Linked DNA regions of Rhinolophus ferrumequinum. The protein of the gene in region 4 purifies or fractionates together with the protein of the main gene of each other region. This does not show direct contact. Links are inferred from orthologs where the notes say so. Each region holds a gene or a part of one and is shown on either strand. Other genes may lie near its edges.

Region 1 (8,006 bases), on a different chromosome or scaffold from region 4:
TCACGGCCAATAAGCTGACAAATGCAATGAATTTCTCTTTTTAAAATTCTAACTTTCCTTAGCTTCCATAACCCTCTTCACACGCTCTTTGTTCCAACCCTTCACCATTTGAAATGCGGGTGTTCATCTAAGTTTCACCTTCAACCTTTTCTGAGTCTCAACCTAATCTACAACCGCCCGTGCACGTTGTGCCATTCCAGTGTTTCAGTCACGACTGATGCTCTGATAACTCCCAAATCTTTATCTCCAACTCTTAACCCCAATACTGGATACTATTTTCAATGGGAAAAGAACGCAGGAACTTCTAAGACAGCTCATTCCAACTGTGGAATAGTCCCAAATGCCTTGTCCCTATCACTCCCTCCCATTACGAGAGCTTTTAAGTCACTGGTCTCCAAAGTGCACAAGGTGTGATCAAACAATACGGTGAATGTTTAAATAAAAAAATTACAGTAAAAGACACATTGCCATTAATCCCCCTCAAAATACTCCCCCTCGCTTAGAAAACACTTATCCCATCCTTCTTGCCACTTTCTGAAGTGCTTCTGGAAGTCCTCTTTCGTGAGTGTCTTCAGTTGTGCTGTCGTGGCTGCCCCCATGTCCTGAGTCCATTCAAAACATATACTTTCATGGTCATTTTGACTTTGTCACATGGTGCCATATCTGGTAAATAAGGTGGATGAGGACACACTGTAATGTTTTCATTTGACAGAAATTGCCGTACCAGAAGCGATGTGTGACATGGAGTGTTGTCATGATGGAGGATGAAGTAAAGACACGAAAGAGGACTTCCAGAACTGCTTCAGAAAGTGGCAGGTATGATGGGATAACTGTGTTTGAAGAGAGGGGGAGTATTTTGAGGGGGATTAATGGCAATGGATGCTTTACGGTAATAAATTTTGTCATTTAGACATTCACCGCATTTTGTGATCACACCTCGTATATCCCAGAGAGTATAACCGATAATCCACAGGGATGTGAGTAGAAAATTAGACATTCTGTATTAAAATTTTCATTTTTCGATTTAAAAGTTGTACTAATATTTAATTTACAAATGGGCACTGACGCCTTCACTCAGACCATACATCAGACCCGTACAAAGAGAAGATGAGTAGTTCCACACTGGGAAGAGTTAAGAGTGGTGTCCTCAGCTGGATTTTCCTTTTCAGCACACTGAAACTTACTTCTGCATAATAAAAACAGACCTTAAAGCAGTTGAGTCTTTGCAAAGAGACAGAAAGTAACAGTAACTTTCTGATTTCCTGGGTTTTCTTATGGCCAAATATTTAAGAGTTGAATTTAAATATGAAAAGCAATTTTCTTCCACACCAAGATTAGAGTGCTAAATATGCCGACCATTCATGTGATGACAGATGGATATTGGTAGTACATGCTACCAACCAGATGTATTCCAAAAAGCTAAACATACTTTATCTTTTCAAAGTAAAGATGTCACTTTAATAATGAGTGAGAAAGTAACTAACTGCTTTTCAAAGGATACTTGTACTATGGGGGGAACAGTTGTGAAAAATTGTATTTGGAAATGTTTCCATTGTTACATGATTCTGTTGCTGAAATAATGTCTATTAAAAACACTGTCTCTTTTTTTAAGTCATTATCTACACAGTTATAAAAGATTCGAAAACATGGAAAATTATCCCAATGAATCTAAGTCTGCTGAACAGTTTTTAAAAATGGATTTTAAAGTTAATTTTTTATATATAAAAAATGCAACACCTTCCAATTAATTAATTAGCAAGCACAACTGATTAAGATCAAGGAAGACGGCAATGTCACAGCCAATTTCAACATAATCCCGTGCATAATTGATGGCTGAGAACTGAAACATTAGTGATGTTGCCAATGATGTAATTCTTCCACTTGGATCCAAGAATCTGTGAGGTATCTTTGTTTCAGGAATGAAAGTCATTAAAATCAAGTGTCAAAAGTAACTGAATTTGAACCAGAAGTTTGAATAGCTAAGTGTCACATCAAGATTTATCTTAGTCGCCAACACAGCACACTATAGTCAATAAATAAATAAACAGCAACAGCAAATATTTACTGGATGCTTTATTTGACATTATCATTTTGGCTGGGAATAGCCCCGGCCTTCAAGGAGCAGAACAAAACAATCTTCAGATTAAATCGAGCCCTAAATTATTCTGCCATCAATCCTGGTCAAACTGTAAAATTCGAATATTACCAACTGATTTCCATGAGGATTAAGCAAAACCACACAAATGAGAGTGCCTAGCACAGTGCCTTAAATAAATAGATGCTCAGTAAGCATCCACGGTCCTTTCCTTGAAGACACGATTAATTAAAAAATAATAATAATAGTCGGCTTAGTAATTAGACAGGTTTGAATTGTCACTGTACTGTTTGCTGGCCATGTCGCTTTGGAGAAATTATTTAACTCCCTCTGTAAAATGGAAATCATATCACCCACCTCATAGAGTTAATATGAAAAGTCATAAAGGATAATCTGTACAAAGTCAATCGACCCACAAAAGGCAGTTAATACACGGCCCAATCCTCCTCCTTCAAGATAGTCTATTCAAAACTGTACCACAAGGGGCCAGCCCATCTGGCTCAGGTGGTTAGAGTACAAGCTCTTAACAACAAGGTTGCAGGTTCAATTCCCCCATGGGATGGTGGGCTGCGCCCCCTGCAACTAAGACTGAAAACAGGGACTGGACTTGGAGCTGAGCTGCGCCCTCCACAACCAGATTGAAGGACAACGACTTGGACCTGATGGGCCCTGGAAAAACACACTGTTCGCCAATATTCCCCAAGTGAAAAAAAAAAGCTGTACCAAAAGTATAGACTCATGGGTCAATGAATTTAAAAATATCTATCACAAACCCTATCTTCTGGCAAGAGTTACAGCAATACAGGACCCTGACACACTGCCTGGCATGGAGTGGACACTCCATTAATGTTTACTGAGCTTAGATGTGTTACTATATCCAATATCAATTGGCTAACTGTGGTAGCCTGGGTTAGCCAGGTGTGGCATTGGGTCTTTCTGCTACTCAGACCAGGGCTCTTTCTACTTTACTATGTGCTCTCCCCAGCGTAAATCATCGATTTACTGATAAAATTGTATGTTTATTCATGCTAGAGCCAATTAATTTAAGGGTCATAATAAGGTGTTACCATAACCTGAGCATTTCAAGGTTCTATGACTCAGGAAGTCATTACTCTGTTAAAATACTTTTACATAAAAGGTAAAAAACACACACTTTTTACAAAGCTTAAATGAGGAGGAAAACAAGTTTCCCTTTGTTTACACAACTCTCCTAAGAAACTTACCTATATCTATGATTTCCTAAGTGGAAAGTGTGTTGGAGTGTTTTTAGAATAGTAAAACTCCAGAATGGGACAACATATTCAAACTGTAAACAGCAAACTCGAGTGCAATAAACGAAGGGTTGGGGGAGGAGAAAAGCCACTCCATTCTTGTCAAACTCAAGGCTTAACACACTTTCAGTAAAATACTGTATGCACTGAACACACAAATGCCGGTACAACTGTATGTGGTGCATTGAAATATACACGAAGCACCTGTAAGACACGATGAGTCAACCCACAGCCCCTGGATGACAAGTGGAAAACAGGAGTTTAAATGTCTGCCAATTGCAGCTTCGGTGCTTTTACAACACCTGCGTTTACGATCCGTCACGTGAAACACACAGCGTAACTAAACAGCACGGCCAGGGCCACGCAACCATTCACAGGCTGGCCTTGTCACACCGCGAGGGGCCAAAGAAGGCACATGGGCAGAGGCGGCCTTCACCTGTTTCTTCCAGATGGCGAATGCGGGAGGCAGACCGCGGTGCGCAAGCAGCCAACCCAAAACACACCCAGGAACCAGCAGGCGTTCCGACACTGCCAGGGGTCCGCCTCATCCTTCACCTCGCGGAGTGTCCTCCCACGAAACCGGGTGTTGGCCACGGAGCCCCGCGACCCCTCCTACCCGAGGGGGCAGCCCTTGGTCCCCGCGCTCCACAGGCCCCCTCACCGACCCCAGGCGCTGCCTCCGTGCACTGATTGCCAGCGTAGACTCCACTACCTCTGCTAAGTTTCTGGAACACGTGATTTGGGGGCGCAAACTTGCTAGGAACAGATTAAACAAGACTGGAACACACTTCTCTGAGCCCTGCCACTCCCAGAGAGGGGCTGAACGTCACACATTTGGGGTGACACTCGTTCAAATCGCCCTAAGGAGGGCAGCGAGTCCCGCCCGGGGGGCCGCCGGCAGCTCTTACCCATTTGTCCAAGGGGACCTGGGCGAGGGACCCGGTGCCCTGATACAGGTCCAGGCTGAGCTGCTCCAGGCTCAGCTTCTCCTGCAGGAAATGGCCCAGGTACCTCTGCAGGAGGTACCGACAGGCCCTCTTCTTGATGGACTCTGAAAACGGCCAAGGCATGTTGAGGGCCGGCGAGGGCTGCGGGCGGCGGCGGCTCCGGCCTCCCGGCCCAGGCCCCGGTTCCAGGCCGCTGCGGCGGCGGCAAGGGCACTGGCCGGCGTCCCCAGGCCGCGGAGGGGCCTAAGCCCGGGGTGGCCCCTCCATCCCTTCCCGGCACCAGGCGTCCCTCAGGACGACCCCATCTCCTGCGCCGCGCCGCTCGCTCTAGGCCTGGCGGGGACACGGGGCGGAGGAGTCGCGGGCGCCCCAGGCCCGGGGTCTTCCGGAGGGGTCCTCGTCCGCACGGAGAGAGGGTGCAGGAGAGCGCGCGGCGAGGCGACCGGGCCTGAGGCAGGGGCTGAGGCAGACACCTCCACCGCCGCCGCGAGACGAATTTGTTGTCATCCGCAGGCGCGCTCCCGACTCTGGGGACGCTCCGGCGCGTTCGCGAGCCCCGGACTCCCCGCGCGCGGCCTGCGCTGGCGGAAGTGACGCCACACTGGGGCTGCAGGAGGCGGGAGAAGGGCCCGGAAGCGAGCGGTTCCGGCTCCGAGGGGGCGGGGCGAGGGCGGGGAAGAGAGGAGGCGGCGCCGCAGGTCGGTTTGCGACGCCCTGGGAGGGAAGAGCAGGAGGAAGCCGGGAGCGCGCAGGTGAGCGTCCGCGGGGCCGGCTGTGGGCGGGCGAGCGGGAGGGCTGGCGGCGGCCGGAGGGCGTCAGGGAGGGCGGGCGAGGGGTCCTCCGGGCGGGACCCGGCGCAGCGGGCCGGGCCAGGAGGAGCGGCAGCAGAAGGGGCCCGGTGTGGGGCTGAGTTGGGTGCAGGGGCGGGTCCGGCCTGGGCCGCCCCGGTCACCCCAGACCCAGACCCCGGAACCCGGCGCTGGGAGCGCCGCCGGCTCCACGGGGAGGGCTGCGGCCGCTCTCTCGCCTCCCGCCGCCCCCGAGTGTTGACCGGTGCCTATTGTCAGCAAGTTGTTCGTCACCCGCCTCATTCAGGTATTGTTTCCAAAGCTTCATCTTCGTTACTGTTGGGCGGCTGGCTGCTTCCCGAGCGCTTTCTTCCTCCTGCTGTGCTGCGCCGGCGACCAGGAAACTTGAGTTTTCGAGGCATTTGTGGGCAGAACTGCCTCCTGTAATTAATGCTAACGCCTCCCGTCCCCTCAGAAACCTGGGCGAAGTGCTTGTGCTTTTCTGGGAATCTGCGCCATCGTATTTCTCTGCCTTTGGGGAGGCAACTCCTGCAGAGGCGAGGCTGGCTGGCTCTTAACTTAGTCAACCACGAAAGGTGTTTGCTGGCCTGGAAGCCAGATGTCCTGGGTTACAGTCCTGATACGGCCACTTATTAGCCCAGCCACCTTGATCCGGCCACTGCTCTCTCTAAACCTTTGCCAAGTGTGAGCGTATTAATAGCTAACCTCCCGGGCTTGTTATGAAAATTAAACGGTATGAGTGGGGAAGGAACCTAAGCAGAGTCTTGATTCATATAGTTCAATTAAGGATAGTAAAGTAAGACGGCCTGTTTAAGGAGATTTTGTGTATATGTTGATAACTCGTGAATGCCTTAGAAACACTAACACAGCCCCAAACTACTGTCAGGTGGAGAAAGGTTTGGTTCCCCTTTCCACACCACCTTTTCATGTTGGAACCAGTGTGCTCGCCAGTGTACATATGTAGGTGCTTGGATTGTTGGTACCCCTCATTTGTAGCCCTGTCCCAAGCATTCTCAGTTACTTCAATTTCCTTGCTCTTCATTCAGCAATATTTGTTAAGGGTCCATTAAACGAAAGTCTCTGCAACTGGTAAGGTTTACGTAACAGGTAAAGAAGAATCAGGCAAAACCTTCAAGGAGCTTATGTTCTCGAGTGAAAGGTCTGTTCCTTTAATCAGTAAATATTTATTGATTGCCTGCCTGAGCCAGGGACTATTCTAAGTGCTGGGGATATAGCAGTGAACTAATTAAGGCCCTGCCCTCCCGAAGTTTACATTTTGTTGAAGGCAAGGGAAACTAACAGTAATCGCATAAATCATATGCCATCTGGTGATATGGGCCGTAGGAAAAAAAAATGAAGCACTGGAGAGGAAAGAGATTTGTCACTTTTATATAAAGGAGTAAGCGAAGGTCTCCCTTATTTAATAAGGTGACATTTTAGCAGAGACTTGGAGAAAGCTGGGGAGCAAGGCACGTGAATACGTGGAATAGTTGTTTTCCAAGCAGGAGGAACAGCAAGTGTGAGGCTCTATGGCAAAAGCATGCTTGGTGGGGTCAAGGACCATCAGAAAGGGGTGCAGGGAATAGTAGAGGGGTCAGGTCATAGAGGGCATTGTAGGCAATGATAACAACTTGGGCTTTTACTCTGGGTGAAGGAGTTTGAGGAGAGGTGACATAATCTGGCCTGTTTTAACAGGATCGTGCTAACCGCTGTGTTGAAATAGACTTGTGTGGGATGGGAGAACCAAAGGAGAAAAGAAAACCGGTTAGAAGGACATTGCAATAATCTAGACAAAAGATGACAGTGGCTTGAGTTAGAGTGGTAGCAGTGATGATGGTAAGAAGCAGTTGGATTCTGGATATAGAGGGTGCCAAAAACATGTATACACGTTTTAAGAAAGGAAAAAGCTATTAAAATTGTGACAATATATACCGGTAACAAAAAATGAATACAAGTCCTATGTATACATGTTTTTGGCACCCCCACTATTTTGAAGATAGGAAGCCATGTCTGTGAATATAATGATAACACTTGCCATAGCGAGAATAGAAACAAAGATGGGATCTCATCTGGCAGAGAATTAGACTAGGTTTGGGAGGTTTGAACTGGACTTTTGAGGAATGGGTGCAACTGACTTCTTTCAGGTTTATATGTTTTGTTTTGGAATGTAAAATTACAAGTACATTCAGGCTGTTCATAGAATGCCTGAAATTTCAAATATAAGAAAAATATAAAAATTGGAAACTTTTATAACAGACGTACTCTCTTTAAAGTTAGGTGTGTTGCCTTGTACATTATGCTTTCTAGGAGAAACTCAGCATAAATGTTAAGGTGTAGGACCTGTTGTCATCATACCTTTCGCTCAAATAGGGTACAAACTCAGCCTAAATCACAATGCTATTTTTGTGTTTTATCAAAGTACTATCACAAAATGTTAACAACTAGCATTAATTGAGGAAGATGGAGATAATCCCTGACCATTGTCAACTTCTAATGAGTTCTATAAAAGGATACCGAATGGGTCATTCTTCAGAATAATCCATGTTAACATGTGAAATAGAAGAAAAGCCGATGGGACGTCATTGGCCTTTTTTAAAAACTTGCACCTGATGTAACAGGAACATGATGTTCGGGCTCCCACATCGCGTGGCTCTTGGAGTTATACAAGGCAGCAGCTACAGCCATCCTACATAATGTAAAGAATCAAACGGCTGGAGTTTCGAGGTCAGCTCTTTTTTCTTTAAAGATATTTTTAAATATTTTTAGTGTATAATAATTGACGGATAATATTTCTTGAGCTTACCATGTGCCCAGCGCCACACGAAGCCCTTCCTAGATGTTCACTCGTTTAGTTCTCTCAGTATCCGTTTAAGGTAGATGCCAT
Region 2 (7,845 bases), on a different chromosome or scaffold from region 4:
ATAATTAACTCTATACCAACCATGTAAATTCAGGAGAGCGATGATATTTTAAAAGTGCTCTCTCATGAAGTAATTACATTTAGGCATGATTATCTGGTTTTGAATTTCAGACATTTATAGATTACATTTCCTTAAAAGACAGTATGTGTATATTTTGCATATTGGAAATTCAGTCAGTAGTTAATTATGATGATTTAAATCAGAAGAATCGCTACATTTGAGTACGATATATAATAGCACTCAAATGTATTTTGCTAATTCAAGAGGTCTTTAATTCAGAGTGGCACTTTTGGACTAAAATCTGTACTAATAATTACAGTTACGATTTTAGAAGTCATTGAGCATTTAATGAACACCTATATAAAGAAACATTACTAGGTATCATGTTACAAGAACAGTTAAGATGTGTTTCTGTCTTTCAAGAGACTCATTACAAAAGAGGTAAGTAAATAAGTTATAAGCTATATAACAGACAGTAGTGTAATATACATGCCTTTAAAATAAAGGCATGAATGAGATACTTCATCTTTTAAATTTAAAAAGCATTTTGCATGTTTAAATGGCTGATGAAATTATAATGTCCACATTTTTCCACTTTCAGAATATTTTCCATTGGTTTATTAAGTATTATTACAGTAAAAAATGCATGTAAACCAACCGCTGAGAAAGTAGTCAGCTCCATTATCTTTCTCTGCGTTTTCCAATGTTCTACACAATAAATGTATATTAAATCACTATCATAAAAAAAAAAAAAGAAATCTCCCAAACTGAGCAATGTGGAAAAGAAGGACTTCACATCTCTTTCACAAGTGAACTGCCAGCTGGGCCCATCACTCAGACAGGAAACAGGAATTCAGCAAGTGGGCCAAAGGGAGATGCGAGTTTTCAGACAGGAAGCGATCTGGAATCTGCTTCTGGCTGTCCGAGATTGCTAGTGTAAAGCTCCAAAGCTCCTGAGGAAAGATGATGCCTGCCTTTGTAGTCAGAAGGTCATTAGGAGGATTCAGCTGAGAGGCTAGCTTTGTGCAGTATGCTTAGTTCCACTGAAAGGTAGAACCAGACGGAACCAGCTAAGTTTAGTCTGAACTATGACATTTAGTGCCCCATGTGATCTAGACAAAGTCATTCAGCCTTGCTGGGTCATAATTCTTTCGTGGCATATAACCCAAATGCCTTGGCTCCATTAGACTACATAAACAAACGAACGTAAGATTTCCATTAAATAGCAAAATGACATTGGAGGAAACACCACCAACTTGGTTGATAGAAATTAGCTCACTAAAATGTTCCCTGGGGACATGTGAGCTTTCCTAGGCACGATCTTAGGTACACTCAGACTCAGCCTGTGTTATCCGACCTGTCACACTACTCACTTGGCCCCTGAGTACACCACTGGCCTTCCCTTATTCACACCCCCTCTCTGTAGGAAATATGGCAGGGGACACTTGTGTCCCCTGCTAGACCATTTCAACTTCCCCTTACCACAGCACATACTGGGCTTATAACATTGATGAAAATTTTGCTGAAGATTCCTAGTATTAAAAAATGATTAAAGAAAAACAATTTAGGGGATACAAATAAACACTTATTTAACACTTCACGAAGAGGACAGTCTCCATTCGGAGAACCACAAAATGGGAGGGAAGGCAGGAAGCTTTTAAAGGATAAAGAATAAAGAAAAAGGAAGAAAAAAATAGAAAATATCTGATTGGCTGGGGCTGCATCGTCTACCTTGTTTGGCATGAAAAGGAATAAGGAAATAAGTATAGAGCTCAGAGTTGGTTTTGTGTTTGGGGATTGGCTGAGTGGATATACTGAGTGTCTGGTCTAACGGAGCGTTTACAGGAACTCGAAAGTTATCTTTGTTTTGTTGATGTGTCACCCTGGGCAGGAGCAGCTCCATCTTGGGCCTAAAACTTTATTTCAACAAATCAAGGGACAGAAAAATAGAACACAGGATAAACTGTGAAGATCCCTTCCTTCCTTCCTTCCTTCCTTCCTTCCTTCCTTCCTTCCTTCCTTCCTTTCTTCCTTCTTCCCTTCCGCCCTCCCTTCCTTCTCGCAGTGGAGAGAGACAGACATTAAATAAGTAATCACTCAAATAAAAATCATTATTTTTATAAAAATCAAGTTGATAAATGCTTTGAAGAAAAAGTAGAGTCCTAGATAAGGAGGGGCTTACTTAGTTTAGGGAGTTCGGACAAGAGTTCTTGAGGAAATAGAGTAGAGCTGAATGGTGAGGGATCCATGTGCATTCAGAAGCTAAGGGGGATGACCAGACAAAGAACATTCAATACTGAAGGAACAGCTTGTGGGAAGGCTCTGAAGCAGGGAGGGTCTGGGCCTGTTTTGAGGAACTGAAAGGAGAACTGTCTGAGCGCAGGGGAGAAAGCTAGGTATATCATGGGTAGAACCACAAGAAGCCAATGAAGGGTATTTAGCCACGGAGTGACATGGTCAGATGTAAATTGCCTGAGTAGAAATGCCAACCCTCTGGGGATGTACCAAAAAACATGGAATTGTATACTTGAAATGGGTGAGTTGTATGGTATGTGATTGTATCTCAATGAGGCTGTTAACAAAGGAAAAGAAATGTTAAAAGAATCAAGAACTAGGCACATCTGTAGAAATGGATCTCAATCCTAAATTTCTTCTCACGTTGTATTTGTTGTACTCCGAAAAATTGGCCACAATGACTGTCTCGCTAGGGTGACTTGGGAGGATTTATGGCTCTATTAATACAAGTCAGAATGGTAGAGTCCAGCCCATTTTCATCTAAGTTAGCAGTACCAAGCAGCTGTTTCAGTTAATCATTATGACTGCAAAGGCTCTAAAAGAGGCCTCCGTTCTCTCAGTATTTTAAAGGAATGGTCTTAATTTGTTGAAATACTCTTTCTCTTTTTAGCATTTTTCCTTTTAAGAAGTAAGCCTATCGGGTTCCTTGAAACCTTATTTGCATTAAAATTAAGGTGTCAGCTTAACTTTAAGATATTGCCTCAGCTCTTTTAAACATTTATTTTCTGTTTTTTCAATCTTGATTAGGAACATATGAATCATTAGTTATTAAATACTACACAGGTTCAAAATAGCTACAGAGAAAGGGAGTATGAGGTTGAGCAGGTGGCAAAGCTTCCGTTTTCCCCCTCTGAGAAGGCCAAGATTTCTTAGGGAAGCATTCCTGGTATCTGTCTTAGTTGCGTAGTTCCTCAGCTGGTGTGTGTGTAAGTGTGTGTTTAATTTCATTTGGCTTGTGTTGTTGACTCTTAGGTTTTTATAAAACTTTATTTCATTTGCCTTTCCAGCTTCTCTCTTACTAGGGTATGCATGCATGCAGAAGTGTAATTCAGACTTAATGACTTTGGGTGGAGGCTGCTTAAATTGCCTTGTTTTATGTATGAGGAAGCTGAGACTCAAAGATAATAAGGTACCTTGATTTGGTTGCCTCACCAGTTACTGAGAGGTCTTCCAGAGGGAACTCTCACGTGTCCTGACTTCTGTTTCTTTTAGTGAAACACCTTCATTTTTCAGCCTTCAACCTCTACTTTTTTCAGATCTTATACTTAGGAATAACTATCTTCATTGAACATCATTTTATGTTGCTTTTTCTTAGAACTGACTTTAAGAATAGACAGAAGTGGTTTTCTGTGTGGTGTAAATGGAGGGGAAAAAAATGGAAGATGACTTTCCTTTTGGGCCATTCGTTTTCCCAAGTAACAACAACAACAAAATCTATTTCTTCTATTGTAATTAAATAGCAGTAACTGAAGATATGTCCAGATGTTTTTAACAAAAGGCAGCAAATAGCACCAGGGCTCGAATGGCTTTTTAGAAGAGGAATGTCAATTCAAGGTTATTGGAGGCCGAAGTCTTTCAGGACTGTCTCTCACATGGTACTGCAAGTCTCCTAATCTACTTGCTTCCTTTGTGGCCTCCACCAGATCCATTCTTTGCTGGGAAAATCTTTCTTTTTTTAAATAAACATTGGTGTCTCCCCCCTATTTAAAACTTTCCAATGTTTTCCACTGCACTTAGAATAAATTCCCTTTGATTCCTTTCTTGGCTTACAAAGCCTACAGGATCTGGCTCGTGTTTGTTTACTTCCTCGGACTTTTTCATATTTTCCTCCTCAAACCTAATTTTGGGGCTTTGAATTAGTAGTTTGCTTTGCCTGGGAATGCTCTGTCCTCTGATATTTGCATGCCCGTTATGCAAATCACTACTTAAGTGTCTCCTCCTCAAAAGGGCTGCCCTTCAAGTGGCCACCCAATCACAATCACCATCACAGCATTTCTGGTATTTTCTTCGTAGAGAGGTTAACACCAACACATATTTTTTTCTTTCTTCTCCCTCACCCAATAAGCTCCCTAGAACCGAGACTTATTTGTCTCCATCACTGCCTGGAGTAATGCCTAACATATGTAGGAGCTCGACAAATACTGGTTGAAGAAATGGACATACGAATGCACCCTTTCTTTCCTGCTCCTCTCTTCCAAACAGGGCAGAACCCTTAAAGAGGATACACTTAAAAATGCCTTTCATCTATCAGGTACTTCCACCCTTGAGGAATACACGTCCTTGAGGAGACTGAAACTTGACTGGACTAGCCCTTACGATTCTAAGAGGAAAGAATCACATATTAGCTTTTCATCTAGGGCTTGCTTTCTCCGTGACCAGTGCTTTTACTTCCCGATTGCGATTCCTCCTAAGATGTAAGGGTGAGCACTAGGGCCCGGAGATTCCTGGATGCTAATTGTTGAGGTTCGGATAGGGCCGTTGGCCTGGTGCGCTGTGAGTGGTCCTCCCTAGAGATGCTGGGGAGAAGGGGCGGAGCCACCCCAAAGGCTAAGCCTTACTTGGGCCGTCAGATCTGGTGGGGCTGCCGCTTTGGAAAGGGCCCCGAGAATCAGAAGAAAGCTCAGCCAGCGTGGGGCGAAGGAGTCCAGCTGACCCTAGGCGGTAAGACTAAGGGGTCGAAGGGATGGAAGCAGGGACTGAAACCAAACCTGCAGAGCGAGCCAAGGCTTGGGTATTTTGCCAGAGGAAAGGGTTAAACGGTTTCCATGGTAACGGGCCAGGAAGCGCGCAAGACGTTCGCCGCAGGTTCGTAGGTCAGCCTCGAGTTTAAAGCTCCCACGGCTGAGCGGATGCTGGCCAATGGGGAGGCCGCCTCCACGTCACGTGACGCGTGGGGCCGCTCCACCAGCTGCCAGGGAGCACGTGGGAAGGTTTTTCCTTTTCCTTCTTTCCTTTTTAAAAGCCCACCCACTTTTGCGCGGGCTTGGTCACGGAGTTCTTCTCGCGAGAGGCGTGTGACCCTCTCGCGAGAGTGAGTGGGAGGCGTGGGGACTAGGTGGTGTTGCGGACCGGAGCTGCGGCGGCGGAAGCCGGGGTGGGCAGGGCGGGGGCGGGGGCGGGCCGCGGGGAGGGGAGGGGGGCGGGCTGGGGGCCGGGGCGGGAGGCGGCGGCCGCTGGCTCGGCAGCTCGCGCGACCGGCCGTTGCGAGCCGGCGACATGACTGTGAGCTGCGCCAGGTGAGCCAAGTGCGGGTCCGCCGGCGGCGTGAGCTGCGGGCGGCGGCGTGCGGGGCCGCGATGGATGGAGCGGCCCTGCTTCGGCGTGCCAGCCCTCCGCCCGCCGGCAGTCCTTGCTCTGACTTCGGGGCTGCGCAGAGCTGCGCCTTCGCTCGGCGGTGGGAGGAGGGCGGGAGCAGCGGGGCGGAGGGAGGAAGCCCACGGCCCCGGGCCGGGGCGTGGGGGTGTCCTCGGGTTCCAGACGGGGCTTCCTGGGGTCCGGCGGAGCCCCTTTGAATGACAAGTTCAGTTTCCATCCCCAGGGTGGTCTTCAGAGCCGTGTTCCCTCGGTGCGTGGCGGTGCGTTCGCTTAGTGAGTATTCGTGCTGCGCGCACGGGAGCGTTTGCAGGAGGAGGAGGACGTTGCACTCTGTCTCCGAACAGCATCCTTCCACTGTCAGAACCCCTGAGCTCGAACGAGGCGCGACCCAAATCTTGTGATAAGAACGGAAGGCGTTTAGCAGCAGCTCCTCAGAGTGTTGATACTTACATTTGCTGTCAGTTTTTCTCTAAGGCTATCAGTGGCTTAAATGCTGGCCATATGTGTTCTGAGTGGATTGACTGTACGTCTGTTATTCCAGGCACCTTAGCTGCCTTATAATATATAACCAAAGTATAAAAAATGTTGGCAAAATGAGTATGGCAGTAGAATCTAAACCACCACCGGGGTATGACTTCCTAACAATTCTTTTCTGCTTACCATCTCCTCTAACGCTTGTTAAATTGGAGATGGTTTAGCTTAAGATGTTAAGGAAATAGCAGTATGAGAAATACTGCTGAGACATATCTGATGGCCTTAGTGCAAACCGGTGTTAAAAATTCCGGTTGTGTTTTCAGCTTTGTAATTATTCAGCCCCTTACAAAACGCGTAAAACACGTAAGCTGTCTTTAGCGGGTTCCCACCGTGTTGGGGATGTTTTATTGATGGATCCTGACTTTGATATAACTGGAACTACTCAAAACATGTAGAGTACTCAGCAAATAGAGGGTACTCCATAATGCATAGATGGTTTTTAATGTCTTACCATTTTAGAGTAAATGGCAGCACAGTTCCCAGCATGATTGGTGTCATTTAAAATAGTGCAATTTAATGAATATTTTTAAACACACAGTCACGTTTTTCAAGGAGTACTCTGGTTATTCATACTTTTTATGTTCCTTCTGGCAGCACTGACACAAGGGTTGTTGACAGTGAATTTTGCTGTTGTAGCTGTAACAGAATAGTTTATGAGAGATCAAAGAATGTAGGGCAATCGGAACAAATGGGTTCCCAGGCAGAACTGATAACTAGTGATTAGTGATGTACTTATAACCGCATTAATGATAAGGACCTAGCAGTATACTTGTAGGCCAGTGATACGTCCCAGTTGATGGGATATGGGACTAGCCACTGACCCTTAAACACAGGGAGAAATTCTCTGGCTTCTAAACTCTAGGGGTAAGTCTAGAAGCTGAAGAAATCTTCCTTTGCCTTTAGAGGCTGGAAGGACATACATATATATATATATATATATATATGAAGTATATACACATAATGTATATTATGCATATACATATATATACAAACATACATACATACATTATTTTTTTAATTCTAGGGACTTACTGTCTGGAAAAGGAAATCAAACCCCATCAGATGATACATTATAGCTCATTTTTAGGGAAATTTTCAGTTATAAATAAGCTGTGGCATTCTGTCTATACTTGCAGAAAATGTGAAAAACTTAGAAAATGTCTTTTTGAGAATGAGCAAAAGAAACTGATCTAGACTTAAAAAGTTCCCTCCGTTCCATCTTGGCAAACTGATCTTCGGGGATAGAAAAACTGATCTTTTTGCTGGTTTTGATGACCCTTTGGCAAAGGTTTCAAGCTTTTAGGATGTATTTTTTATTTTTCTAGCCTTTGAAAAGTAATTGAAGTCATTTTGGGTAGGACAATTGTTTAGGTAAGCTGCATTTGTTCTCTTTTTGTCAAGTGGCTTGCCTTTTAGTAATAAAATCAGCCACTTAGAGGGAACGAAGGGTGGGGACAAGTCAGGAAAAGATCTCAGCTTGGCTTGGGCTTGAGTTAAGGGTGTATAAACTGGTGAAGTGGGGAAAGGAAAGAAAAGTTCTTTATCAGATCCAAACAGATCTAAATGTGTTCCTCCTGCCACTCATCTTTATATATAAAAGTTCATTTTATTTTAAAATATCTGTTAGAAGTTAAGGCATTTGAGATACATTGAGACTGGGAAGGATGAAAGTTAACATTTTTGGATTAATCTGAGAATATT
Region 3 (7,213 bases), on a different chromosome or scaffold from region 4:
CTCGCCCTGCCATCTCCCATCTTATCCTTCCGCAATCCTGAGCTATTCTCTAAAAATCCATGCTCTTTCCTACCCATCAGTTTCCTGTGCAGGAAAGACCAGTCAGGACTCACTGGGTTCCACTGTGTCCGAGCACCTCCTTTGGGGGGCCATCTCTGGTCTCCTCAGTCGGAGTTAGGTGTCCTGTCAGTGTTCCTCAACCCCTCACCTTCATAGTTTGGCCTTTATAGGGAAAGCACCATGTTCTTGCCGGTCCATTAAGACCGTGAGCTTTTCAGGGTGGGGCCTTGGCTCTTTGTCTCTGCAACCCTGGCACCCAGTGTCTGCTGTATAGATGCTCAGGAAATGTTTTTAAAGGCTTCTGAACCTGGTGATCACGTGTGGATGGGCTTCAGAATCTGTGAGCACACCCAAATAGCATGATAAATGTCATATGTATGTTTGTGCATATTTTCTGGGTAGAAAGCTCATGGTTTTTATGAGCTTCTCAAAGGGGCCCATAACATACATACACATACATGTATTTCCTGGAAGAGGTATAGCTAGCTACATGGTCAGTAAAATGCTAACAGGCATACATTAATAAGATTTGTTGACTTTGTCAGTTTGACAGAATCAAAGAAGATTCCTGAGCCTAGTCAACACACCTGAAAGGTCTGTGTGGGTGACAGACCCATCACTATTTTTTAAAGCCTCAAATCCATGCCCTACTGATAAAGGATTAGTATTAGTTAGAAGTAGTACAGGCATAGGAAATCGATCCAGAGGAAGAATATTTAGAAGAGATTCATACAAATATCTGGGCTTGATTTGATTCATGATCATAATGAATAATTTTATGTGTCAACTTGGCTAGGCCATGGTAGCCAGTTTTTGGTCAAACACTACTCTCGATGTTATTGATAAGGCATTTTTTAGATGTGACTCACCTTTAATCGCTAGACTTCGAGTAAACCAGATTACCTGCCATAATGTGGGTGGGCCTCACCCAATCAGCTGAAGGTCTTAAGATAAAAGATTGAGGATCCCCGAGGAAGGTGTTCTGCCTCCAAACTGCGTTCAGACTCAAGGTGGCAACATGCACTCTCCCCTGGGATTCTAGTCTACATGCATGCCCTGCGGATTTCAGCCTTGCCAGCATCCCAATTGCATAAACCAATTCCTTAAAATCTTGCTCTCCCTCTCTCCACATTCTATTGGTTATGTGTCCCTGGAGAACCTGACTAATTAATAGTACTCTGTCTCTCTTGTTGAACATTGTGGATTTAAATATGCGATATTGGATGAAGACATGTTTTGAAGATATTTTAACTTGCAATTCTCTTTAGTATTAGACCCAAGTTTGCCACTCTTCTGGTTTCGTGGTTGATAATTTCAATTAATGCTCAAGATAAACACCACTTCTCAGTTTAGATAAGCATTTGCCTGTGAAAAAAGTAGGAAGACATCTGGCATTTGAATACTCGCTGGAATTGGGTTAAGTTTGAGTTTGAAACCACAACTTGAGTTCCACAGGAAGCAAAAATGCTCAGCTCCACTGCACACCACCAATTGGTGGTGGGAGTCTGAAAAGTTCTCCTTGGAAATCTGAAATATGTGGCTCCATCCTTAGCCAACGGAAGCTTTGAGTACAGGAAACACTAAGCAATGGGCCACCAAAGTATTCCTTCCTTTTATGTTTTGGTTCTTAGTTCTACTTCTGCTTACTAAATGCACTGCTGATACTTATTTTGTTTTTAAAGTTGCTTGCTATTGTTTCACAAACATTGTAATGGCAATTAGGAATTCTGTTATAAAGAGAAAATTTTACAGCCCCACTACTCTTAGAAACTTACTTTGTTGAATTTTCCAATGACATGGGCCAAAGGAAAGGCCCACAGCCCTTCAAATCAAGGGTAGAAGGCCTCTGGAGAAGAGGAAACCATGGAAACTAGTGGAACCATTGTCATTTCTGAAATGTAATTTACAAGGTGTTATTCTTGCAATGGCACAGGGGCACTGAAAGAGCATTCACACCATTTGGAAACCACTGGGACTGTTTTTCAAAACAGCTGTCCAGGCTGTGAACTCTCCCCAGGCTCAACTATCTACTGCCCAATTCCCTTTTTGTCTTTTAAAGCCCCAGCATATGAGGGTTTGGCAGCTAGAACAAGCTTGAGCACAACTGACACAGGAAATGGCCCCTTGCTGGACTGGCGCCTGAATGCTACTGAATGGGGGTGGGGGAGGGAACACATACACCCAGGCCTTAGCTAGGAAACAGCTGTCACTCAAAGCACTCAGTTCAATGTCAGCAGCTTGCTTGTTTTCATATTCTAAGTGTCTTAGAAAGGTAACACTAATGGTGGGACCCAGTACAACTCATTTTTAACCTTGTAGTTTGGGTAGTTCTTTAGAAAGGGGGAGGAGAAGTGGGAGGCAAACTAACATTTACTGCATCCCACACTGTGCTCGGCATTGTATTTACATACATACTGCAAAGGAGAGCAATTAAGACCACTGCCTTTGTGGCCTTGGGCATGTCACTGAACTGCTCCATGCCTCATTTCTCTTCTGTAACAATAACAGTGATAATAATTCCTATGCCACAGAGTTATTATGAGGATTAAATTAAGTATTGTGTAAAGCACTTAGAACAGTGCCAGGCATAGTAAGTGCTATGTACGTGTTTGCTGTTGTTATATTTACTGGTTAATTTTAACACAGCCCTGCTCATTCTTTTATGATTGAGGAAACTGAGGCTCACGGAGATTAAGTCAATTACCGGAGATGGCAGAGCCTGACACCAAACTCAGATTTATTTGACTGCACTGTTTTCTTCTCAGTACAGGACCGGGCCTGCTCAATGCTATCGAATTCCCTCTCCTGCTTGCCAGCTTAGGGTTCAGTTTATTAGCTCTTCTTTGTACCGACGAGGGTGAAATCCTATATGACTGAGGCTCTGTCTTTAATCCCCCATTCCATCCATCCCTGGCAAAAGACCAATGGTCAACATATGGGGGTGAAGGGTCGTGAGAGGAGAAATTTCCCTCCTACACTTCCACCCACACCAGGCATAATGGTTTTTCTGACAGTTCCTACCCTTCCTCTATCAGAAAATGGGATAACCATAACTAAATAAAATGTTCTGATGAGCAGGACACTTATTATAGCCCGATGGATTTAGGGGAGCAGTTGGCCTCTTAGGGCAGTGCTATGCAACAGAAATATAACACCAGCCATATATATATAATTCAAATTTTTCTAATAGCTATTATATATTTAAAAAAATTTTAAAGGTGAAATTAATCTTATCAATATTTAACCTAATATATCCAAAATATTACCATTTCAACATGGAATCAATATAAAAATTATTAATGAGATATTTTAATATATTTTTTGCATTGTTTTAAATCTATTGTTTACACATACAACCCTGTTGTACCATGTGAGTACAACAGGTACCAGTCAGACACAACAAGACATGTCTTCCAAGGGCCTTCTGTATTCATTTAGCGACATATATGTCTAAAATTGTCCCCTGCTCCCCCTTTCTTCCTCCACAGGCAGATACTCTGATGGAAAAAAATGGCTGAAGGAGTCAAGTCGCTCCCTCACCAATCATCCTCGATTAGTGCAGTTTTTGCGGGCAGTTGGGATTTCGTGTATGGTCACGGTGTGTTTGTACCAATCTGCAAGGTTTATGCTTCTCATCGTGGGGGGTCAGGCGTGATGACGGGGGGCATTTCAGGTTCCAGAAGGGCTCAGGCCTCTTTTGGACCCTGACAAAGTCCTTTCCAGTGTCTTGTGCCCATGGGGACGGTGTGGCCTCCACGGACGGACGACAGCACCCCCGGAGAGGAGAGTAGCTCAAAGGCCAAGCAGACACTTGGCAGGGCTCAGATTTCCTGGACCGGATGGCGGGCCCTAGCCCGGAGGCCCGCGCAACTCTGGCGGGGCACAGGATGCGCGGTCCGGCGTGCGCATCCCGGGCATCCGCCCGCGCTCGGCCCCCGGGCATCCGCCCGCGCTCGGCCCCCAGCGCAGCTGCCGCAGATCCGCCCGGGCCGCCGCCTCCCGGGTGCCTGGAAACGGCAGGAATCCCGGTCCGGGCCTCAAGTCCTCCCCCTGCAGGGGCCACGGGGCGGAGTCGCCCACCTGTCATCCGAGACGCCCCACGTGGGCCAGCTGGAGTGGGGGGCGGGGGTTGAAGGGGAGAGAAAAGGCAGAGGCGGCGAGGGAGGCTGAGTGAGAGTGGGGAGGAGAGAAGAGGGGAGGAAAGGGGAGGAGGAAAGAAGGCAGCTTTCGAAAGCTGCGCACAGAGGGAGCGAAGAGTCGAAGGAAGAATAAAGTGGATCCAAGGCATCCAGAGAGGAACAGGTAAGAAGGGACAGGTAAACAGAAGGCAAGTGCTGAGCTAGAGAGAGCGAAGAACGGAGAAGAGGCAGGAGCGAGGAAGGGCCTGCGGATAAGGACGGAGGTAAGATGAAAGTAGAGCTGAAGGAGAAAGATTCGAGAGTGAGGGGGACTGGGGGGTCCTTCAAGGAGGGGCCAGGGAGAACCTGGGGCCGCTGCGCCTTTAAGGTTGCTTAGGCAACGGCTCTGGCCAGAGCGAGGCACATTGACGTCAGCAGCCGAGCGCTGATTGGCTGCGGCCGGGTTGTTTCCGGTGGAGCCGCCGCGGAGCCGCTATCGCAGAGTGGAGCAGGGCTGGGAGGGAAGTGCTGAGGGAGCTCAGCAAGCCGCAGACTCGCACTCGCAGTCCCGCGCCCTTCGCCGCCCGTCCCCAGGTAAGTGGGGTCGACGAGGGGCCCCGGCGCGGCGAGCTTCGCCGCCTCGCCGCCCGTTTGGGGGAGCTGGACCGATCCAAGATGGCGTCACGGGGAGCGACCTGCAGGGGGACGGCCGCACCCCCTACCCCTCCCCGGCCCCAGCAGGCCCCTCTCCGCAGGCCTCACGCCTGGGGCGGCGCCCCCGACCCCAATCCTGCACCTCCAAGGCCCCCAGGCCGCGGGAACGTCCGCGCCGGTGCGGGGTTCCCCGGCCGCCCCGCCCCCCACTCCCGCGCGCTCCCCCCCACTTCGCGTTGCTCAGGCCCCCGGCCCTCCGCGGCCTTCACCGGCCCTCCGCGGCCAACGCGCCCCCGCCGCCTCCGTCCCCGCGCGCCGCGGCCTTCTCGCTCGCTCTCGTTTTCTGAAGGACAGCAGCTCGATTTTACCGGAATCGGCCGTGGTTGCCGTCGGCGTTTGTGGCTGGTCTTGAGACCCAGCAGGTCTTGTTTTCTTCTCCGGTCTCCTCGCCATCTCCAGCAATCGCGTCTCCTCCTTCCCGGGGTTACCCCCACCCCCAAGGATTTTCGCCTTACTCTTGTATTTCCTTTTGTCCCTTTTCACCGCCCTGCCTTTCCCGAATTTTTTCCCCGAGGCCGCCTCGCCACCACTGTGGCCTTCGGACTTAGAGTGGGATGAGGGATCTGCCTCTCTTCTTCATTTTGTGGCCGTCACTCTGGCATAAGTGGAGGGCACTCTCCCGTCCTTCCTCTCGAAAATAGACGGTAACTATTAACCCCGCCGGCGCAGATTGCATGTGTGATGTCCAACGACTTAACTACCTGCGAGAGTCCCATAGGATCGGTCTTTTCAGAGGAAAGAAAGCTAACACTTCCTCCAGATGACCCCAAGGAGGTGTTCCTGGCTGGGCTTCCTGGGTGCAGTCTGAATCAGCAAGAGTTTCTCAGTGTTTTTAAATATTTCCTGGCATGTAAGCCATTTGAAACAATTTTATCACAACTGAATTTCCAAAAGAAAGAATCTGTGTGATTTCTTAAGAGTAGAGACAATTCTTTGAAATTTTTAAAGTATTAAATAATTTTGAGGAGGAGCAGCCAACTTGTTGGGCTCTTAAGACTTAAGTACAGAGTCAATCGAGGTGTATTCGATTGAAAATCTTAAGGCCGTGAAATCCGGATGTTCAGGGGTTCTGCATGGTGACTGCATTATCTTGGGGGCATCTACCAGTGTCATTTGTTTGGTCTTTTTTAATACATTACTTTGTTTCAAACAAAAAAAAACAGTTTCACATCTTAGACCCAATCCTCTCATTTCTACCAACCAGGGGCTGATCTTTGAATGATTTCTCTGGTCAGTTGAGTATATGTATTGATATTCCTGAAATATATCTGCGTGTTTTGAAGCATGCAAGATGCGATTTATCATTGTTCTTGGTAGTCTTCAGTATTATTTGAAATGTAGAAAGTTTTACTGAAGGAGATTCTTAGTTCTTACGATTGACATGGAAAAGTGGCTGGTATAAATCCATTCTCAAGTGAATGACTTTTTTTTTTAGTGTGTATTTCTGAAGTAGCAGCACGATTCTTTTTCTGTGTTCTCTAATGTATGTTGTCAGGTAGCTGCACACTTTCTCATGATCTGTTAATCCAGTCTTTATTGACCCTTATGAAAGTTGTCAAAACAACATGAGTAACAGTGTAGCACTGTAACTCTTTATTCTAGCCTTTCTTTTACATTTACAGTTTCATTTCAATGGTTTGTGTGCATTATATTTGGAAAAGTCTGATTAGTATTAATTTCAGTTGCAGAGTGGAGGAGACCTCGTTTTTTACTTTTAACTGTTTAGTAATTAGGAGTTAGAAGGAAAACAGTTTATGACTATTGTTAAATTACTAAGGTTTTATTCCAGTGTAAGGTTAGCTGCACATTGCTCTCTCTCTATTTTACTTCACATCGAGGTAGTTCGAACCCTTTAAATTTCATTAAATGTAATTTGTTATATTGAATCTTCATGTAAGCTTAAAACTTAACATATTTTAATACTTTCCTGTCCAGATGAAAAAAATGTTTTGACGTTTTCCTGTCCAAATCTTTTATAGTTTACTTGGTAAGCTTTTTTTCCTTCTATTAAGGATTTTCCCTCTTACCAATGAGTAAGTGTTATAATTAAGAGCTGGAATCTGCTAAAAGAGTCTGGAATAAAAGGTTGCTTTTAAGATTCATCTGAGGTTCCTTTTGTGCTTTAAAAATTTTTAATTACGCTAGTAGTTGGCTAATCAGATCCCTTGCTCCACTGGTTTGCTGGGTGACATTAGGGCATCCCCTGGGATAGGAGTTCGGTATAGGGAATGTCAGATGTTCTTCATTGTGCTTACTTGCTTCCACTTAGGGCCTGCTCATGTGCCCGTGTAATTCTCTGTCCTGTTTACCATTTACACACT
Region 4 (7,028 bases):
AAATACAGGCATACCTCATTTTATTGCACTACGCTTTACTGTGCTTCACAGATGTTTTTTAACAAATTGAAGGCAAAACCCTACAACCAGCAAAAAGATTACGACTCACTTTATTGCCATGATCTGGAACTGAACCTGCTATATCGCCAAGGTATGCCTGTACTTCTTATTACTACATAAGCCTGTTCATTGTGCATTTTAATTTATAATTATTCTTTTGTGGGCACACTCACTAACCTTTCTTTTTTTTTTCTACTACACTACTTAACCTGTTGTGTCCCACCCAGCTTTCCTACCTTTATCTTTCCCTAGTCCTTTGGTTTGTTACTGTGGCTCAGAATCACTTATCTCTGCAAGGGAAATCTAATAAGCCCTGGAGGAAACCAAACTGTTATAAACCAAACTAGGGGATATGTTCACAACCAGGCACAAACAGTTCAAGACATAAGGCTTAGACTTTAAGATAAAGCAAGACATACCAGGAGAGGTGGGGACTGCTTGAGAGAGAGAAGTGTGTATTAGAACAGTGAATCTGAATCCTGGTTCTACTTTAGCTCTGTGGACCTAGCAAGTTAGTAAACCTTCCTGGCCCTCAGTTTCTTCATCTGAAAAGCAGAGGTGATAACACTACTTACGTCATAAGATTATTATAAATTTGAGATAGTATGTGTGAAGCACTTAAGACCAGTGTCTGGCATATTGTAAACACTCAGCAAATATTACCTATTAAAATTATTACAAACTAGTAAGTGGTTAACAGCAGGTTGGAAGGTAAAGTGTTTGAAAATTCAGAGAAACAAACACTGAATGTTAATTTCATCAGTTCTGTATTTTCTCATAAACTTCTTCAAGTCCTAATTCTGGATTGAAACACTTTTTTTCCTATAAAAATTCCCCATGACTTGGTCAAATTTATTTTTTTTAAACAGCATCAGTTCAAACTATTTGAAGGCACCAACAATAATCAGTCTTAGACTATTTTTGTACTTTATTATATACAAAAGAATAGCCATGTTTCCAATTTGTATAACCTAAACATGTTATTCCCTTTCCCGCTGGTAGAATTGGGAGTATGGATGGGGAGTCCAGAGGGAGGCAGGACGTAAAGCGCCTCACAGCATTTTTAGGGACTAGTGACAAAGGTCATTCATTAACAATAGTTTGCATGTAGAGGCAACATTCATTGGCAAAGTTGCCATGCACTGAGTTTGCTTTTAACATTCTTTACTCTCCTCCATGACATCCAGAGATCTCATATTCTCACTTAATTGCAAAGAACAAGAGCCTCTACTGCTCTGGGGCTACAAAACCCATGCTCAGGTTTGAAATTACAAATTGATTGCATGTTGGCCACATTTACCCCAGGATGTTTAGTTTGGCCTTCAGGGTTTTGAAATACTGGTTGCTAACATTTAAAAATAGAGATATTTTACACAAATTAGGGTTTCTCTTGGGAGAGGGAAAAAAACACAGAATCTCTCAGAACACTGGACCTACATTCCTGAGGCCAACAATCTGCTAGATCTGAACAGCTGCTCCCTTCAGTTACAGCATGGACACTCCAGTTTGCCACATTCCTTATCATTCCTCATTGTCTTCCACCAGGCCAGTCTTACTCATATGCTTTACTTTTCTGACCCCTGTAGACCTGTCTGCAAACCCTACCTAGACCTTTTTTGCCTACCATCAAAGCTTAGTTTGTTTTGCCCTAAGTCCCTCATCAGTATGTCAAAGCAATAGCTACATAATTTGATTAGCCATAGGTATTTTTACATGTGCTTTCTGGAGATAGTATTTTAACAGAAAGAGATGACTCTTCAGGTGGAAATTACAATCAGGATAGCAACTGTCCATTCTACTTTTTCTGCTATCCTGACGTAGTCATACCTCACTGTCCTCAAGCAAACCAAAGGAAGTGGTTTTCTGCAGAACAACACCCGGCTCTATGTGAAACCTACTTAAATAATACTTTCATAGATCACCCTAGTTCCAAAGGACCAAAAGCTACTAAGGGCTATTCTGACTCCCCATTTCCTCGGAGGCTTCAGGATATCCGGCCTGATGGCATTTCCCTTCACCTGATTTTTGGGCCCGTTTTGCGCTGGGCAGTCGCGCCCAAGGAGCGCGCGCGCATCCAGCATGAGCTCATTTCTCAGGGGGCGTTTCCAGAAGGCCGGCCTGGCCGCGCGCACCAGGCACAGTCTCCCTCTTTCTAATCAATGGCCCCCACGGCTGGGCGTGGCGCTGCCTCTCTGAAAGCTTTGTTCCCACTCTAGCGTCTGTGAGCTCGCACCCCGCCGGGGAGGCGCCTGGATCCATCTGGCCCTTGCGGGGAAGACGCTGGTACTCGGGACGCGCTAGCCTGGGCAGAAGGGAGTCTCGGAGGCGCAGAATTAGCCGCGCCCCGCCTAGAGCCTGTAGTCGGTGGGGAGAGCCCCTAAGCCCTCTGCTCGCCTGAGCGCTCCGAGCTCAGCCCAGCCGACCGCAGCAGTTTCGGACCCGCTGTGTAGAGGGCCCGCGCTCCCTATTTGCGGTTTCCACATGGTCTGAGAGCCGCCGCCACGACCCCAGTCGAGCTTCTTCTGGCTCCTGGGACCGCCGCCGGAGGTCGGAGGCCAATCACATTGCAGCTAGGTCTTGCGATTGGAAGGCAGTGAGTGCCGATTGGCTATCGCTAGGGTTTCGGCCTCCCTCCTTTTCCCTTTTGCCCCAACTCTAGCTCCAAAGCTTCAGGCCAATGAGAAGGCGCTTTATAGACGCCCTCCCTTTGCTTTCTTCTCCCCTCCTTGGCGAGGGAGGAGACGTTGTGACTGGCCAGACTGTCCTCGGAAGCCCCCTTCCTTTCACCAATCACCAAGGGAGGTGCACTCCCAGCGGAGTTTTTGGCCAATTACAAAGCAGCCACGGAGCCCAGCCGTGCTGTTTCACCCGCGACTCGGAGTTTCACTGCCCTTAACTCTTCAGGCGGTTTCGTGAGGGCCGGCGACTCTGATTGGCCACTATTGCCACTGTCGAATTTCTCTAGCCAGCCACAAAACAAGACGAACCCACCTTTTTCTGGTTCGGGTATCTTCGGCATTTTTCGGACTTTGGGCGTGGATTTCCAGCGGCACATTCTAATTGGGTCCTTAGGTCCATCGGCTTTTTCCGGGAGGAGCCGCAAACATACGACGTCTGTGATTGGCTACGCTCAGGCTTCGGTCCTTTAGCAGAAGCGGCGGGCGCAGGGCTCGTCCGGCGATTCCCAGACTCCTGTTACGCGGGCGGCGGGGCGCTGGGTGGTGTAAGGCTGGGTGGGGGAGGAAGGAGGCGGAGGACGAGTAGGAGGGGGGAGAGGGAGTGGGGAAGAGCTAGGCGGCTGCGCAGACGGTTCTCCTCACACAGAGCAGCCCCTGACCCGGGCGAATGCGGGTTTGTGCTGCCGTCGCCGCCGCCGCCGCCGTCGTCCGGCCCCAGTGACAAAGGAAGGAAGGAAGGAAGCAAGGAGGAGTCGGCCCCACAGCCGCTGACAGGGCTCCGGGCTGGGGGCAAAGCGCGGACACTTCTTGAGTAGGCACCGAGCAGAGGCGAGGGGCGGGAGGGCGACCGCGCTGGTGCCGTGGACGGGGGAGGGGGCCCCGAGGGACGGAAGCAGTTGCTGGGTTCCCATGTCCCCGGCGTATGGGGAGCAGTCAAGGAGCCGCTGCTTGGGGTCTGAAGGGAGCTGCCTCTGCCACCGCCGCCGCCATGGCCGCTGGATCCAGCCGCCGCCTGCAGCTGCTCCTGGCGCAATGAGGAGAGGAGCCGCCGCCACCGCCCGCCTCTGACTGACTCGCGACTCCGCCGCCCTCCAGTTTGCCGAGCCCCCGCCGTCAGCCCGCCGGATCCCGCCGCTGCCGGAGCCGCAGCGTTTTCCGTCGCATCTCCGAGCCACCCCCTCCCTCTCCCTCCCTCCTTCCCATCCCCCTTCTTTTCAAGCGTGAGACTCGTGATCCTTCCGCCGCTTCCCTTCTTCATTGACTCGGAAAAAAAATCCCCGAGGAAAATACAATATTCAAAGTACTTATTTTCAATCAAGTATTTACCCCTGTTTCGCGTGATATATATATATTTTTAGGATTTCTCCCCTCCTCTCTCCTCCCCTCCAAGGAAAGGGAGGAGAAAGAATTGTATTTTTTTCCCAGCCCCAAATCATCTATATGTTAAATATCCAGACTGATCTGTCTTGAAGGAGAAATACATCGCTCGTTGTTTTATAGCTATACAAAAGGAGTGAAAAGCCAAGAGGACAAAGTCTTTTTCTTTTTCTTGTGGGAGAACTTAATGCTGCATTTATCATTAACCTAACACCCCAACATAAAACAAAAGGAAGAAAACGAGGAAGGAGGGAAAAGAAGGTAATTCGGAAGGAAAAGGTGATTCAGAAAGAGAGCAATCATGTCAGGCCGGCCGAGAACCACCTCCTTTGCGGAGAGCTGCAAGCCAGTGCAGCAGCCTTCAGCTTTTGGCAGCATGAAAGTTAGCAGTGAGTATTGATTTTATTTTACACCCCTTCGCCACCTCACCCTTAGAATAACACACCTTGAAATACCAGGATCTTCAAATCTTAGACCTCCTGATACAGCAATCAGGGGGAATGGAAAAAGGCAAAAACCTGTCTTCAGTCAAGGATGAGGCAGCTCCCTCTTTTCTCCTCCCATACTCCCTCCCCCGGTCTCATTAACCTTGAATTGAGAGAATATGCTTTTTATTTGGATGATTTGGTTTGCGCCTAATTTTTTATACTTTCCTTGCTGTTGATAGTCAGCTTCATCCAGTGCTTAAGTATTTCCACGTTAAAATAGTGATGGAAGTGTTTACTTGCTCATCCTTTTGGATAAAGAGAAGGGCAAGGCTTGATTCATAAACCATTATGTACGTTCGCTCAGTGTATGTCTTTTGGAATGAGGGATATTTTAGTTAGCTCAGGTCTCAGAGGTTGTCATAGTTTTGTATACTTAACAGAGAGACTGAGTGTCACAGTCTCCTAACATTTCTTTCTTGCTTAACGATACAAAGTATTTGTTCTTAATCCGGAAATCAACTTGCTCAGTAACCAGCATTAGCGTTGGGAGGCGAGCATTGATCGTTCCGTTTACAAGGGGCGGGTGGGAACTGATACACAGTAGCAGTAGTGTGTCTACATGCATTGTTTTAAATTGGATAAGTGGTTTAACGTGTTCTCTTAATCTTCCCGTTTTGACATTACCAATCTACCACTATGTAATTATGTTTAATCAAAAGATAACTTGGTCCAAGTTTTGATTGAGGTTTGTATTGTCACGTTGCCAAATATGAAGTTCAATGTTGATGTTAATTGTTATTGACTCCATCATTTAAGTTCAATTTTGGGGTGGCCTTTGCATTCAGTACTTGTTACATGAAGAGTTCAGGGGTCCCTTCTTAGGACTATTTAAAATACTCTTGCATTGGTTTCCTGTCACATTTAGATAAAACTGTGGATTTAGTTATAAGATGTAGATCTTTCCATCATAGGTTTTGCAGAAGGCTGTGATCCTGGATAAAATAGGGAAATTTGGGCTGTGTTCAGGGATGTTGCTAGACTGTATTCTTATCCCAGATTTATACTGAAAAGTCTGTGTTCTTGAGGTGTTAGTATACTAAGTGTCCAATGTTCCAATGTATCTCTATTTGTGGTTATGTTTATGTGCTATTTAATGACAGTTTATTTAAACATATGTGCAGAATTTAACAAAAATATAGCTTTATGTTCTTATTCCTGAGGAAAGGGGCATGATTAGGGTAACGAAAAACTAGTTTGTTGCCTAGAAGAAGGAGAGAATGAAGAACTGAGATTTTTTTTTTTTTAAAGTATATGCTGGTACGTGAAATTGATTATATCTTTAAGCAACATAAAATGATTTTAATTGAACTCAGGCTTTCAAGTCATGTTGGCCTTTGGAACTTGCCAGAAATAGGGTAGTCTAAGGTAATAGCTGAATGGAAGATTATTTTTGAAAGTTAATTTTTTTTTTTTTTTGGTGACTGGCTTGTACAGAATGCAGGGTATGTGAAGAGGGAAGCTGATGATGCATCTTTCAGGGAAGGATCAGGCTTTCTAAGCACTGGGGTCATTTGAAAGGAATATTTTAAAATTCTGGGGTAATTTTCAGCTATGATGAAGCAAATTTTGTAATAGCTACTTAAGAGCCTCTTGTGGTAGTGGAGTGTTTGCTTTTCATCTTGGTAATATAGTTTAAAAACCACTCAAAATCAATTTTCGGTAATTAATTTATTAAATCTGTTTTAGAGAGCCAAGTAGAATAGCTTACGATGTTAAATTTTTGGACTTTTCATTTTGTTTCCAGGATTTTGTTTGAACAAGACTCTTTAATTCTCGATAGTGTGGATGTTGGCTAATAGGGGAACCCCTTATAAAGTGTGTAGGTTAAAATGTTTAATTATCTGTTACCATATAGGTCAACTTAACATTAAAAAAGCTGGAGTTCAGTGCTAATTGTTTTTGACAACATTGACTTTAAGGACATTTTAGAAGGGAATTGCTGAACATTGGTTAGAGTGCTAGTGTTCTAAGGGACCCCTGTTCAGAAGAGATACATGAGAAATTGTAGTCCGTGGCCTCAATAGCTTATGATTTAGTTGTAGAGGCAGGTTATAAAGACAAAAGATGAAAACAATATGGTGATGACTGTAAGTGTATAAATACAAATATAATGCTTTTTTCAGAGGGACAAACAATAAATGGGGTGAGGCAGATGGGTTGGAGAGGGAAGACTTCCTGCAGAGGTGTGTTTTAAGACAGGTGTTAAAGGAGGCGGTAACTTCAATTGACAGAGAAGTATAAAGGATTCTAGATGGAAGGAATGGACAGAGATACAGAAAATGGTGATTTTTGTATGACATGTAAATGATTTTTGTACTTACTAAGCAAGTAGGTAAATTTGAATTAAAGGGTCCTAAATTGGAAAATAAGAAGTGATGGAATTTGAGAAATGTGTTCATATTAGCTGGTGGGGGTAGAAGGGGTC

Evidence for each region.
Region 1: the proteins of GSK3B (region 4) and GSKIP purify together in Homo sapiens (affinity purification with mass spectrometry; 10 studies listed by BioGRID and IntAct, with this or other methods). This does not show direct contact. The link is inferred for Rhinolophus ferrumequinum from reciprocal best matches to the Homo sapiens genes GSK3B and GSKIP.
Region 2: the proteins of GSK3B (region 4) and AKAP11 purify together in Homo sapiens (affinity purification with mass spectrometry; 4 studies listed by BioGRID and IntAct, with this or other methods). This does not show direct contact. The link is inferred for Rhinolophus ferrumequinum from reciprocal best matches to the Homo sapiens genes GSK3B and AKAP11.
Region 3: the proteins of GSK3B (region 4) and PRKAR1A purify together in Homo sapiens (affinity purification with mass spectrometry; 3 studies listed by BioGRID and IntAct, with this or other methods). This does not show direct contact. The link is inferred for Rhinolophus ferrumequinum from reciprocal best matches to the Homo sapiens genes GSK3B and PRKAR1A.

What each region holds. Positions count from the first base shown.
Region 1 is NC_046289.1:7,262,105-7,270,110, reverse strand, and holds the start of GSKIP (GSK3B-interacting protein), read left to right. Parts: upstream 1-4,994; 5' UTR 4,995-5,065; intron 5,066-5,108; exon of another isoform or gene 5,109-5,408; intron 5,409-8,006. Other genes in the region: ATG2B (autophagy-related protein 2 homolog B), read right to left, coding at 4,275-4,436. UniProt on the Homo sapiens protein: A-kinase anchoring protein for GSK3B and PKA that regulates or facilitates their kinase activity towards their targets.
Region 2 is NC_046287.1:8,104,262-8,112,106, reverse strand, and holds the start of AKAP11 (A-kinase anchor protein 11), read left to right. Parts: upstream 1-4,834; 5' UTR 4,835-4,956; intron 4,957-5,415; exon of another isoform or gene 5,416-5,531; intron 5,532-5,864; exon of another isoform or gene 5,865-5,883; intron 5,884-7,845. UniProt on the Homo sapiens protein: Binds to type II regulatory subunits of protein kinase A and anchors/targets them.
Region 3 is NC_046304.1:45,323,221-45,330,433, forward strand, and holds the start of PRKAR1A (cAMP-dependent protein kinase type I-alpha regulatory subunit), read left to right. Parts: upstream 1-4,209; 5' UTR 4,210-4,362; exon of another isoform or gene 4,363-4,462; intron 4,463-4,614; exon of another isoform or gene 4,615-4,772; intron 4,773-7,126; exon of another isoform or gene 7,127-7,213. UniProt on the Homo sapiens protein: Regulatory subunit of the cAMP-dependent protein kinases involved in cAMP signaling in cells.
Region 4 is NC_046285.1:45,648,305-45,655,332, reverse strand, and holds the start of GSK3B (glycogen synthase kinase-3 beta), read left to right. Parts: upstream 1-4,018; 5' UTR 4,019-4,416; coding exon 4,417-4,504; intron 4,505-7,028. UniProt on the Homo sapiens protein: Constitutively active protein kinase that acts as a negative regulator in the hormonal control of glucose homeostasis, Wnt signaling and regulation of transcription factors and microtubules, by phosphorylating and inactivating glycogen synthase (GYS1 or GYS2), EIF2B, CTNNB1/beta-catenin, APC, AXIN1, DPYSL2/CRMP2, JUN, NFATC1/NFATC, MAPT/TAU and MACF1.